3 linked regions of the Canis lupus familiaris genome follow. The protein of the gene in region 3 purifies or fractionates together with the protein of the main gene of each other region. This does not show direct contact. Links are inferred from orthologs where the notes say so. Each region holds a gene or a part of one and is shown on either strand. Other genes may lie near its edges. The genes, in order: CRADD, RIPK1 and PIDD1.

Region 1 (4,191 bases), on a different chromosome or scaffold from region 3:
GAACAGAACTGGTTACATCACCCAAAATGATTGTAAAATTAAATGAAATATTTTGGTAGTAACGGGGTTTCGTTTCGCTTGTTTTGTTGTTTCCAACTATCTGGTGCCAAGAGGCATCTCTAAGTTAAACACCAGGAAAAGACACTGGATACCCTAATACTTCTCTTAACATGTCCCCAGTTCCACAATATTTATTCTGTTTTCAGTAAACTGGTAGAAACGTCTTAGATACTTTCGTTTGGATTTGTTCACATACCTGGAGTATTTAATTTTGTAAGGACACTTGAATTCCTGTGGCCCTGAAAGGACAGCTATTTTCAGTATTTCAAAAAGCCTAACACATACATTTACCTGAAATTCAGCCATGCTAGGAAATGAAAATATGTTTGTTTTTTCCACTGGGGTTTAACCAAGCCCTCCTAAGTTAAGTGGTTATCTCATGCAGAGCAGATATTCAGACATATGTCATTAATAAAAATAGAAGAATTCATCATGATTAGTTAGTACCTGCAGTCTGAAAAATCATTCAAAATAAAACAAAATATGAGGTCCATGGGGCAAAAATAATAAAATTGGTCTTTTATTACTGGTAGTTGTTTTTTAACCAGTTATGTTGGTATTTTTATTTATTTTTTTTTTTTTTAATTTTTATTTATTTATGATAGTCACAGAGAGAGAGAGAGAGGCAGAGACACAGGCAGAGGGAGAAGCAGGCTCCATGCACCGGGAGCCCGACATGGGATTCGATCCCGGGTCTCCAGGATCGCGCCCTGGGCCAAAGGCAGGCGCCAAACCGCTGCGCCACCCAGGGATCCCTATGTTGGTATTTTTAAAACTGCAACAACAAAGTCTGAGAACCACTGTCCCGGAGGAGTTCTAACTATCACTACTTTCAAAAACTCCGGAAAATGTTTATTTCCTAACTATTAAAAATTTGCAAGTTAACTTTCAATTTTTTATTTTTTTATTTTACTTATTTCTTTTTAAACTAATTTATGTTATTTATACTTTGGAGGTTTGGGGGTTGGTTTTTTTTTGTTGTTTTTTTGTTTTGTTTTGTTTTGGGGGTGGGTTTTTGTTTTGGTTTGGTTTGGGTTTTTTTGGCAATTCAGTTCTCTGCTCCTCAAGCTTTGGAAAACAGTAAGTCATGGAAGTGTTAAGAGGGAAAGCATCTCACATCATATCTTCTTCCTGCTACAAGTCAGGCCAGTAGCATCAGGATTGTTTCTCTTTTCCATTGCTTTCAACTTTCTTTAAAATCAAAACAGACCCTCTCCAAACTACTATTCTTATAATATTAAATACTCTGGGTGTCTGAACAAAGCCAAACTAAAAAGAATGACTTTCAATCAATAACCTTTAAAAACTTAACCAGCTCTCTAAATAATCCCCTTTGGCCTAGGGAACAGGTGCAAGGCATGCCTTCCTAGAGACTGTCTCCTCCTTCATGAAGCTGACCTTTCCCAGCCGGCAGCTCTGGCACCCCACAAATCCGTTATCGGTAGCCTGATGCCTGCTTTCCCATCTGTACTTTCCAAATGGCTCCCGATGCCAAGAGCTGAGATATGACCTGGCTCTCAGATGAGAACATGCCTCCCAAGTGACTTGCCAAGTTTCCCTGGAAGCATTTCTAAATGTATTCTGTGACCTCCCTCCTCACCCTCTGCATCATGGCTCTACACTTCCTTTTTTTTTTTTTTTTTTTTTTATATTTTATTTATTTATTCATGATAGACGTAGAGAGAGAGAGAACGGCAGAGGGAGAAGCAGGCCGACGCGGGACTTGATCCCGGGACTCCAGGATCGCGCCCTGGGCCCAAGGCAGGCGCTAAATCACTGAGCCACCCAGGGATCCCCGGCTCTACCATTCCTAATTCCACCTCCTCCTCCTCAGCCTCCAACACCATGTGCCTTCACGCCAAACTCCTTACCCACTGCTCACCTAAAACCCCAACTTCACATCCAAAGGACATAGTTTCCACAATTCTGCAGCTGGTCAGAAGTGATCTTTTCAGGCCTACCTGCAGGGAGCTCAGTTATGGCTTCTTCCCTTGCCTTCTCCAGCTTCTCCCTAACCCAGGGAAATTCCTGCAGGGAATCTAGGAATGCATCAAATGCTTTAGGACCTCTAGAAGGTAGGATATCCAGCAGCAGCATTGTTTTCCGAAGGCCTGTGGCTTGAGCTTTGATTTCTTGAAGGTGGTTTTCTGTCAAGACCCCTTCCTGGTAAAGATATTGAAGAACCAGTCCCTCCACCAGTACTTCTGCACCCAGCTCCAGGCGAAGGGAGCGAAGCACTTGCTTGTCTCTAGCTTCCATTTCTCCCTGGGAAGACATGAAATAGTAGCTCAGATTCCAGGAAGCTGACCAACCCTCCTAAAGGCAAACTCCTTAAGGTCAGGTACGTCTAGGAATCTTGGCGGAGTGCCAGGCCGTGGTGTTTAGCATATGGCCGTTAAGCCAAATCAAAGTAATCTTGAATATTTCTGAGCATAATGACCAACCCTGAATATGAATCATCTTTTCTAATTTTGCTTTCCACACAATGGGGTCCTCGCTGGATTCCTTGCTTGATAAGGACGTTTGGAAAAAACTGGGCCACGGACCCTGCTTAAAAGCAATTTTGATCTGAGAATTACAGAGCAGCGTTTCATTTTAACATACTAACAAGAACCAGCGGCTTTCCTTTAACGTCGACTTCATCAGATATACCGCAGGCGGCCTTCGGACCGGCTTCTGCTCAGCCCGCAGCGCAGTGGGCGTGGGCGCGAGGCCCGCAGGTACCGAGCCCTGTAAGGTCCTCCGCCCCTGGGAGCAAAGCCCCCGCCCCGTCACCTCTAGGTGTGCTCTGCGGGGCGCCTCCCGGGTGGTCGCGGCACCCCTCCCCCTAGGCGTTCCGCATCTCTATGGCACCACCGCCAGGACCGCACGTGGGAGGGACGCTTATTGGGGATTTCCCCCCACTGCAGCCGTGGTCAGTAGCCAGGCCCGCCGCCGGGTCTCGGGGCGCCGGTGCCCAGGCTTCGAAGGCGAAGCAGCGGGGGAGGGGGGAGGGGTCGGGGGGCGGCACAGGGGGGGCTCCGTGGGGGTGGGGGTAGGGGGAGGTGGCGACGGGGGAGGGGACGGCGTGCGCTGGCGGCCGCCCACGCCCGTCTAGAGCCCTCAGTTCCCTCCTTGCCACCTCAAGTCCTGCTGTATTACCAACAGGAAGAACTAGGAGGGATTTTCGGGGCAACCTGAGCAGGGAATGATCTTCAGAACGGATGGAAGGGGGCGCTGGCCCCCCCAGCACCGCCACCGCCTCCCCAACCCGGGCCCGGCTCGCAAACGCCGCAAGTTAGGTGGGCGGGGAAGCCACGCGGGGCCGAGGCCGCAGAGGCCACGGTGCGGGGCCTTCGAGAAAAAAATGGATACGGGGTTTCTGGTTTCCTGTTACTTACGTCTGCAAACACATGTATTTAAAGGAAAAAAAAAAAAAAAAAAAAAACCGCAACCGGAATCCAGGCTGTTAAGGAACCTGTACCATAAGTACCATCTTTGTTGAAGGCGAAGCCCCTCAACAGGAAGTGCTGTCGCCATCTTTGTTGAGGGCAAACACAGGAAGTGCTGTCGCCATCTCTGTTGAGGGCAAACACAGGAAGTGCTGTCGCCATCTTTGTTGAGGGCAAACACAGGAAGTGCTGTCTCCATGTTTGCTGAGCGGGCCCAAGTGTGGGGGACTGAAGCTTTTTTCCGCCATATTTATTGCGGGTAAACAATATCGCCTCCTGGAAATGGAAAACAGTTAAGTAAGTCACGTAGGGTTTTTTTTTTTTTTTAATTTTTTATTTATTTATGATAGTCACAGAGAGAGAGAGAAAGAAAGAGAGGCAGAGAGAGAAGCAGGCTCCATGCACCGGGAGCCCGACGTGGGATTCGATCCCGGGTCTCCAGGATCGCGCCCTGGGCCAAAGGCAGGCGCCAAACCGCTGCGCCACGTCCCCGTAGGGGTTTATCTAAGGGAGTATTTTAAGACAGGATCTCCAGCAGGGCGTTGCACACAACTGACCTGATAGATAAGTCTCAAAAGTCGCCTCATCTACGAAACCTTTCCTGACCAATCTATTTAAAATTGCAACATTAATCTCCTGCATTCCCCATCCCTTTTCAAACTTTGTTTTTATCTGTGGTACGTTATCAACCTCTTATTAA
Region 2 (3,513 bases), on a different chromosome or scaffold from region 3:
TTTCTTTTGAGGAAAGAATAAACAAACTGTGGTACATCCACACCATGGAATACTACTCAGCAATAAAAAGAACAAATCGTTGGTATACACAATAGCCTGGATGAATCATGCTGAATGGCAAAAAGCCAAACCCAAAGCATTCCCAAAAAGTATTTTATGATTCTATTTTTTTTTAAGATTTTATTTATTTATTCATGAGAGACACAGAGAGAGAGAGGCAGAGACACAGGCAGAGGGAGAAGCAGGCTCCATGTGGGGAGCCTGATGTGGGACTCGTTCCCAGGACTCCGGGATCATGCCCTGAGCCAAAGGCAGATGTTCAACTGCTGAGCCACCCAGGGGTCCCTATGATTCTACTTATGTAGTATTTGTGAAGTGACAAAAAATGACAGAAACGGAGAACAGATTAGAGATCAACAGAGGTGAAGGAGGAGGGTGGCGTTGGGGAGGAAAGTGGGTGTGGGTACAAGAAGGCAACATAAGGCACCCTTCTGGTGATGGAGATGACCTGCATCTGACTGTATCAAGGTCAACATCCTAGTTGTAAAACCATACTGTAGTTTGGCCAGATGCTATCACTGGGGTAAACTAGGTAAAAGGTATATGGGATATTTCTGTGTTATTTCTTTTCTTTTCCCTATTTTTTTTAGAAAGATTTTTTAGTAACCTGTACATCCAGCCTGGGGCTCGAACTTACAACCCCCGAGATCAAGAGTTGCATACTCTATTGACTGAGCCAGCCAGGTGCCCCTGTTTTTCTTACAACCACAGGTACATCTACAATTATCTCAAAATAGGAACTTTAATTTTAAAAAAGTGAAAAAGGCATAAAAGAAAAGAAGAGACCAGGTCAGGAGAGGATTCAGGCTGACTAGGAAAATAGGAAAACAAGCAAGTAAATCAAAGTACCCTTCTAATCCTTGGTTCTAGTGGTGGGTGGGGCTTTATTCTGTTTTCTCATGGCAGAAATAGGCTCCTAAGTGACTTCCTACTATTTATTTCTTGCTTACCTGATTTTCTTTCCTCTGCCTCTAGAATCTTAGCAAGGTCCTAGGTAACCTAGTGGAATGGGAAGACATGCAAGGATGTGACAAACATTCATGTCCCCTTTCCTCGCCCTCTATTAAAGGCCTAATTTTTTTAAAGATTTTATTTATTTATTCATGAGAGACAGAGAGAGAGAGAGAGAGAGAGAGGCACAGACACAAGCAGAGGGAGAAGCAGGCTCCATGCAGGGAGCCCGACGTGGGACTTGATCCCGGGTCTCCAGGATCACACCCTGGGCCGAAGGCTGCGCTAAACGGCTGAGCCACCCGGGCTGCCCTACAGGCCTAATCTAAATGACAATATACATTTCCAAAGAAGTCTGCATCCCAAGGGGAAGGAGAAGAAATAAAAGATGCTAATAAAAAAGGACCAGTGGAAGCTACCAAAGTATCCATCAACAGATGAATGAATAAAGAAAATGCGGCGTGTGTGTATACATACACACACACACACACACACACACACCCCTTCTCTCTCCCTCTGCCTGTGTTTCTGCCTCTCTCTCTGTCATGAATAAATGAATAAAATCTTACAAAAAAAAAAAAAAAAGGAAGGAACTTCTGACACACACCACAGCACAGAGCAACCCTAGACATTATCCTGAGTGAAACAAGCCAGGCACGAAAAGACAAAAACTGTATGACTCCACGAGGTGCCTAGAATCGTGCCTATTGATGTAATGATAGAAATAATAGAATAAATTCATAGGGATGAAAAGTCAGAAGGGTGGCTGCCAGGGCTGGGGGAAGGGGGATGGGGAGTTGGTGCGTTTTAATGGATACGAAGTTTCAGTTTGGGAAGATGAAGAGGTTTTAGAGATGGCTGGTGGTGCTGGATGCACAACACTGTGAACGTACTCAACGCCGCTGAACTGTACACTTAAATAAGGTTAAAATGGTAACTGATGCATTATGCATATTTTAACACAATTTTTATTTATTTATTTTTAAAGATTTTTTTTATTTATTCATGAGACACACACAAAGAGAGAAAGAGAGGCAGAGATACAGGCAGAGAAGCAGGCTCTATGCAGGGAGCCAGACGTGGGACTTGATCCTGGGTCTCCAGGATCATGCCTTGGACTGAAGGTAGCGCTAAACCGCTGAGCCACCAGGGCTGCCCTTAACACAATTTTTAAAAAGTTAATTATGCAGAAAAAAAAAAAAAAAAAGAAAGAAAGAAAAAAGAAAGAAGAGGGCCTCATATAACTTCACATTTTTAAGAGGGATGGTATCTTTTCATCGAACAAAATGTGTGAAATCTAGAAAGTCTATTTGAAATCACAAGTAGAACTCAGGTTTCTGAACACTTCAACTTCCTGACAACATCTTACCAGGAAAGTCACCTCACTGGCAATGTACACAGTCACAGAAGATGCTCTTACCAGCAAATGTTGGCCGAATTTCGGGTTTTGCCTCCCAGCATTGCTTCATGATGCTGATAATCTCCTCTGGGCAGTACTCAATGATGTCCTCCACATCTGGCCTGTTCCCAGATTTAATGCACAGTATCAGCTGCTGTTCACAGATAGCATCTATAAGGCAAAGAATTTACGTTGATTTTTTCCTCAGGTCCTGCGTGTCTTAGGCAGGAAGGCAGCAGAACTTGGACAATCCTGCTGATCTCCTCTACCTAGGGTATGCTTTTAGGACGGGCGCCTCATCTGTTAGGGGCAGAAGGACCCTCTGACAAGGCACTGACATATTCTACTGCCCAGATGATCAAACGACATTTTAACCTCTGCAGAAGAAAGAAAGAATTCACAACAAAGTGGCCTCCTGGTAGAATAGAATATACAAATAAAAACAATGGCAGACTCCAGACTTTAATACAAAGGCGAACATGGAACAGCTTTTACCCGTAAAGAACTAAGTTTATTGAGAGGGACTTAAAATACAGATTGGTAATGGTTATTCAAAAATTAAGTACAAAGGTTTCTGCTAACACAACCATGATGAGAAGGTCAGAGAAGGCTTTGCTGCATCAAAAAAAAAAACTAGAAGGATTTATCGATAAATCAGGAAGGAGGACTCAGAGAACAGGATTCCAGGATAGGGGGGCAGGATATGAATAGCTTGGAAGTCTCCAAAATCGTGATGTATCCTAGAAATTATGCGTAGTTCTCAATAACTGGGCATATTGACTAAAGAAAGAGAGGTAAGGAATAAGGCTAGAGAAAGATGGAAAAGCCAGAGAGGGCCTTGTATTCCATGCTGAAGAATTTGAACTCTATACTGGAGGCCCAGGGAGCCTTGGAAAGATTATAAATAGATGAATCAGATGGTCATACTTGTCTATTAGGATGACCAGCCTGGCTGCAGGGTGAATGGGGAAATGAGCAGCCCTCAGTAGAAATACGGATGGTCTGAACTAGAGAGTCTGGTGGGGACAGAAGTGGGGGGATTCAAGATGGATCTTGAATCATATATATACCTTGAATTCATAGGTTTTGAATGGACAAAGCTG
Region 3 (4,227 bases):
CTCCTTACTCTTGGGGTGCCCTCGCTGTCATCACCCCCATCATAGACAGAGGTGGGGCACAGGTCTCACTCAAGGCCCCACACGGAGTAAAATGGGGACATCAGGGGTGGGGCGTGTTGTGATGTGTGGCGTTGGAGGTGACAGGATATGTCAGGTTTGCCATTCCAGCCGCACAATTCAGTGGCCCTGGGTGTTTTCCCAGTTACACAGCTGTCACCACTTTCTACCCACAGGGGATTTCGTCCTCCCAAGTTGGGAGTCCACACCAGCTCAGCAGTAACTCCCTACTTCCCCAGCCCCTGGCACCCACCACTTTGGACTCATTTGACTGCTCTGGGGTCCCGACTGGATGCAGACGTGGAAGCAGACTCTATTTACCCTCTCGGACATTCTCTCCATATCCTGGCACATATCAGAATTTCATTCCCTTTTAAAGCTGAATAATGGGGCACCCCGGGTGGCTCAGCAGTTTAGCGCCGCCTTCAGCCCAGGGCCTGATCCCAGGGTCCTGGGATCGAGTCCCACATCAGGCTCCCTGCATGGAGCCTGCTTCTCTCTCTGCCTGTGTCTTTGCCTCTCTCTCTCTCTCTCTCTCTGAGTAAAGAAATAAAATATTTAAAAAAAATAAAATAAAGCTGAGTAACGCCCTGTGGTGGTTGTTTAAGTCTCTGGCAGCCTCGCAGAAACAACGGGGGCCAGGAGCCGGGGCAAGTGCAGGCCTGGCCCAACTGCCCATCCTGGCGGGTGGGCGGCTGGTGGCGTGGGAGCCCCTGATCTGGGGCAGAGCAGGTGAACGAGCACAGGTCTGGCAGGCTCTCCACAGGCAGACCTAGTGTGAGGTTCTCAGCTGTGGCACTTAGTTCCGGTGACCTGGGGCAAACTCTGATGTCAGGGCCTCCTTTTCCTTCCCTGTGAGATGCAAAGATTGAGGCAGAGGAGGCATGGGCTAGCCCCCTGCTGGGGCACCTGGCCAAAGTGCCGCTAAAGCAGGATAGCAGGAGCTGGGCCCAGGCCGCTAGAGGAGCCTCAGGAAGGCTTCCCGGAGAAGGAGGCCCCAGAGGCTGGCCGGGGACGGTACCCGTGCTGCCCTGGCTTCTGGCAGGAGGTGGATCTGAGGCCGCAGCTGCGTCCGGGCCCCCCTCCCCCGAGGTTGCACCCGCTCACCTCCCGGCCGGGAGCGCACAGCTGCAGGGCAGGGCGGGCCGGGGCCGGGAATCTCCGGGAGGGCGGGCTGGGCGGCGCGACGCGGGCCTCCCGGCGGGAGAGGCCGGCCCGAGGCGGACGAGCAGGAAGCCGAGCACCGCGGGGCCGGCGGCTGGCGGTTGGGGTCCGCGGCCGCGTCTCCTGGGCTGCAGGCTGGACAGGGGCGGGGCGGGGGGTGCGGGCACCCCGAGGCCTCCGCCTGCGCCCCAGCCCCGCGGCGTCCGGCCTGGGCGGGCCCCCGACGCCTGGGCCGCTCCGAGCGCGCCAGCGGGAACCCGGCGTGGGGCGTCCCACCCGGGACGGCGCCCAGCCCGGAGCGCAGGTACGCGCAGGGCGAGGGCGGGGGCGGGGGGGCGCTCTCCCGGCCAGGACCGGCCCCGTCGGAGCCCCGAGTGCCGGGCCACTGCTCCCGACCGCGACCTCGGTGCAGACGGGAAGCGGGGAGACCCCTCCCCCAGCGTCCCATCCCCAGGACTCCGCGCTGCCCAGTGGCTCACCCCCCCACCCCATTCACTTATCTGACCTGTGTGGGCACAATCGCCCCTTTCCTGGCCTGGGCCACTGTCCCCACGTGGTAGAGTCCTCAGCCTCGGGTCAAAGCTGGTGGGTGTGAAGGTTGGCAGGGGGGCTGGACCTCCAGCTCTTGGGGGGGGGGGGCAGAACAGCCAGGATGACAGGACAGCTCTAGGGGTCTCCTTCAGATTTCCAGAAGTGGAATGTGAAGCCTCATTTCTCCCTCCTCCCCCCAGCCAGGTCCTCTGGGCTCCTCTGCACACAGATCTCGCTCTGGGCTGCCTTCCCAGTCCTGGGGTCCTCCTTCCCCAGCCCTCTTTCAAAAGTGACCTGTCCAGGGGAGGCTCTGGGCTCTGTGCATCAGCTGGTCTGGCTCAGGGGAACTCCCCCCTCCCCCCGCCCCAGCCAGAGTCCCCATTCCCCTGAACGGAGGAGGGCCCAGCCTCCCTCCCTCTCCCCACTCCTCCCCCTGACTCTGCAGCCTCCCCGGCCCTGTCTGAGCAGGCCTGTTTGGCAGGCTGGGACATGTCTGGCCCCCGAGGACAGCCGGTGGGCGATGGCTGCAGAGGCAGAGGGGCTGGAGCCCCAGGCAGCTGCTACAGAAGATGCTGCAGGAGATGCCACAGAGGCTGCGGATGCAGAGCTCCGTCTCCTGGTTGGGAACCGGTTGAGCCTGGACCTGTACCCTGGGGGGTGCCACCGGCTGCTCCATCTCTGTGCCCAGCGACCCCCTCAGCTGGGGGAAGTGGAGTTCTTGCAGCTGAGTGGCCACGAGGACCCTCAGCTGCTAGAGGCTACCCTGACCCAGGTGCCGCGGAACCTGCAGCGCCTTCGCTCCCTGGTCCTCAGAGGTGAGCCCCACCTGGTCCCAGCCCTGTCCCAACCCCGCCCATGCTGCAGCTGCCCAGTGGTGTCCCCCAGCAGACAGCAGCATGGCTATTCTTTCTGGGGCAGGTCATGGGTGATGGCTGTCAGCCGAGATGAGCCTGTCGTATGCATCCCTGTCTCCCTGCATTGCTGGGGTCTCTGTCCCTCGCTGGGTGGGGTTGGGGTAGAGAGGTCTGTGCCTCTGAGCTGAGCCCTGGGATTCCGGCCCTGAGGGCCACATCTGCTCTCCCCCTTTCTAGGTGGACAACACTGGGATGTGCTGGGTGCCTGCCTCCGGGGCTCTCTGACCACACTGCCCGCTGGCCTGAGTGGCCTGGCCCGCTTGGCCCACCTAGATCTGAGCTTCAACAGCCTGGAGACGCTGCCGGCCTGCATCCCACAGATGCGTGGCCTGAGCACCCTCCTGCTCTCTTACAACCACCTCTCAGAGCTCCCTGAGGCCCTCGGAGCCCTCCCCTCCCTTACCTTCCTCTCTGTGACCCATAATCGTTTGCAAACGCTGCCCATAGCGCTGGGAGCTCTCTCCACCCTGCAGCGCCTTGATCTCTCAGGGAACCTTCTGGACACTCTGCCCCCTGAGATTGGAGGCCTGAGCAGCCTCACGGAGCTCAATCTGGCTTCCAACCGGCTGCAGGGCCTCCCGACCTCCCTTGGTAAGTAGGGGTCAGGCCCCTTTTGGCTCCTTGGGCCTGATGGAGAGGGCCTTTTGGCCACTGTCTGGCCTCCGCTCTCTGTGGGCCCCACCTTGTCCTCCACAGGGGACCCTGCACACACAATCTTGGCCACCTTGGAGCCTTCACTCCTCCAGGTGGCACTCGTTTGCCCTTCCTTCCCTGGATTTCAAGCTCCCCGAGTCTGGCCATGGGGCAGAGACTGGAAAGGCTTCTCTGCTTGGGCCTGCCATGAGTATCCTGTCCTGGCCAGGACTAGGCGTGGCCCTGGGTGGTGGTCCTCTGCTGGCCCTAAGCTGGCATCTCCCCACAGTGGGGCTGCGGTCCTTGCGGCTCCTTGTTTTGCACAGCAACCTCCTGACCTCAGTGCCCACCGGCCTGGTACACCTCCCGCTGCTCACTCGGCTGGATCTGAGGGACAACCAGCTCCGGGACGTGCCCCCGGAGCTCCTGGACGCTCCCTTTGTGCGCCTTCAGGGGAACCCCCTGGGCGAGGCTCTACCTGCCCCCCAAAGCCCCCCAGGTAGGCTTGTTCCTGGGAAGGGTCAGACCACAGACAGGCCAGGATGTAGGTACTGTAGGTATACTAACAGCTGCCCATCCTTGCACAGAGGCGCCGGTGATCCTGGAAATGCCCAGACTGTTCCTGAACTCAGATGTGGACAGGTGTGTGTGAGTGTGTGTGTATGTGTGTGTTGCTGAAAAAGCACGTCTCTACCCTGTCACCCTATCCATAATGTGCACCTCGCTCAGGCCCCAGGGATCTTCTAGAGTTTCCCAGGGGTGCCCGATTCAGCCACACCCCTTTCTATTGTCTGACCTGATGCCCACTCTGTCACACAGCTTCCCTGTGACTCCCCAAGGCTGCTCCGTGACCCTGGCCTGTGGCGTCCGCCTGCAGTTCCCTGCTGGGGCTACTGCTAGCCCTGTCAACATCCAGTATCGTCTCTGG

The links.
Region 1: the proteins of PIDD1 (region 3) and CRADD purify together in Homo sapiens (affinity purification with western blotting; 8 studies listed by BioGRID and IntAct, with this or other methods). This does not show direct contact. The link is inferred for Canis lupus familiaris from reciprocal best matches to the Homo sapiens genes PIDD1 and CRADD.
Region 2: the proteins of PIDD1 (region 3) and RIPK1 purify together in Homo sapiens (affinity purification with western blotting; 3 studies listed by BioGRID and IntAct, with this or other methods). This does not show direct contact. The link is inferred for Canis lupus familiaris from reciprocal best matches to the Homo sapiens genes PIDD1 and RIPK1.

Annotation. Positions count from the first base shown.
Region 1 is NC_049236.1:34,177,834-34,182,024, reverse strand, and holds the start of CRADD (death domain-containing protein CRADD), read right to left. Parts: upstream 2,801-4,191; 5' UTR 2,704-2,800; coding exon 2,665-2,703; intron 2,326-2,664; coding exon 2,022-2,325; intron 1-2,021. UniProt on the Homo sapiens protein: Adapter protein that associates with PIDD1 and the caspase CASP2 to form the PIDDosome, a complex that activates CASP2 and triggers apoptosis.
Region 2 is NC_049256.1:4,671,556-4,675,068, reverse strand, and holds part of RIPK1 (receptor-interacting serine/threonine-protein kinase 1), read right to left. Parts: intron 2,582-3,513; coding exon 2,432-2,581; intron 1-2,431. UniProt on the Homo sapiens protein: Serine-threonine kinase which is a key regulator of TNF-mediated apoptosis, necroptosis and inflammatory pathways.
Region 3 is NC_049239.1:45,603,606-45,607,832, reverse strand, and holds the start of PIDD1 (p53-induced death domain-containing protein 1), read left to right. Parts: upstream 1-1,419; 5' UTR 1,420-1,525; intron 1,526-2,233; 5' UTR 2,234-2,272; coding exon 2,273-2,567; intron 2,568-2,843; coding exon 2,844-3,257; intron 3,258-3,588; coding exon 3,589-3,798; intron 3,799-3,886; coding exon 3,887-3,941; intron 3,942-4,118; coding exon 4,119-4,227. UniProt on the Homo sapiens protein: Component of the DNA damage/stress response pathway that functions downstream of p53/TP53 and can either promote cell survival or apoptosis.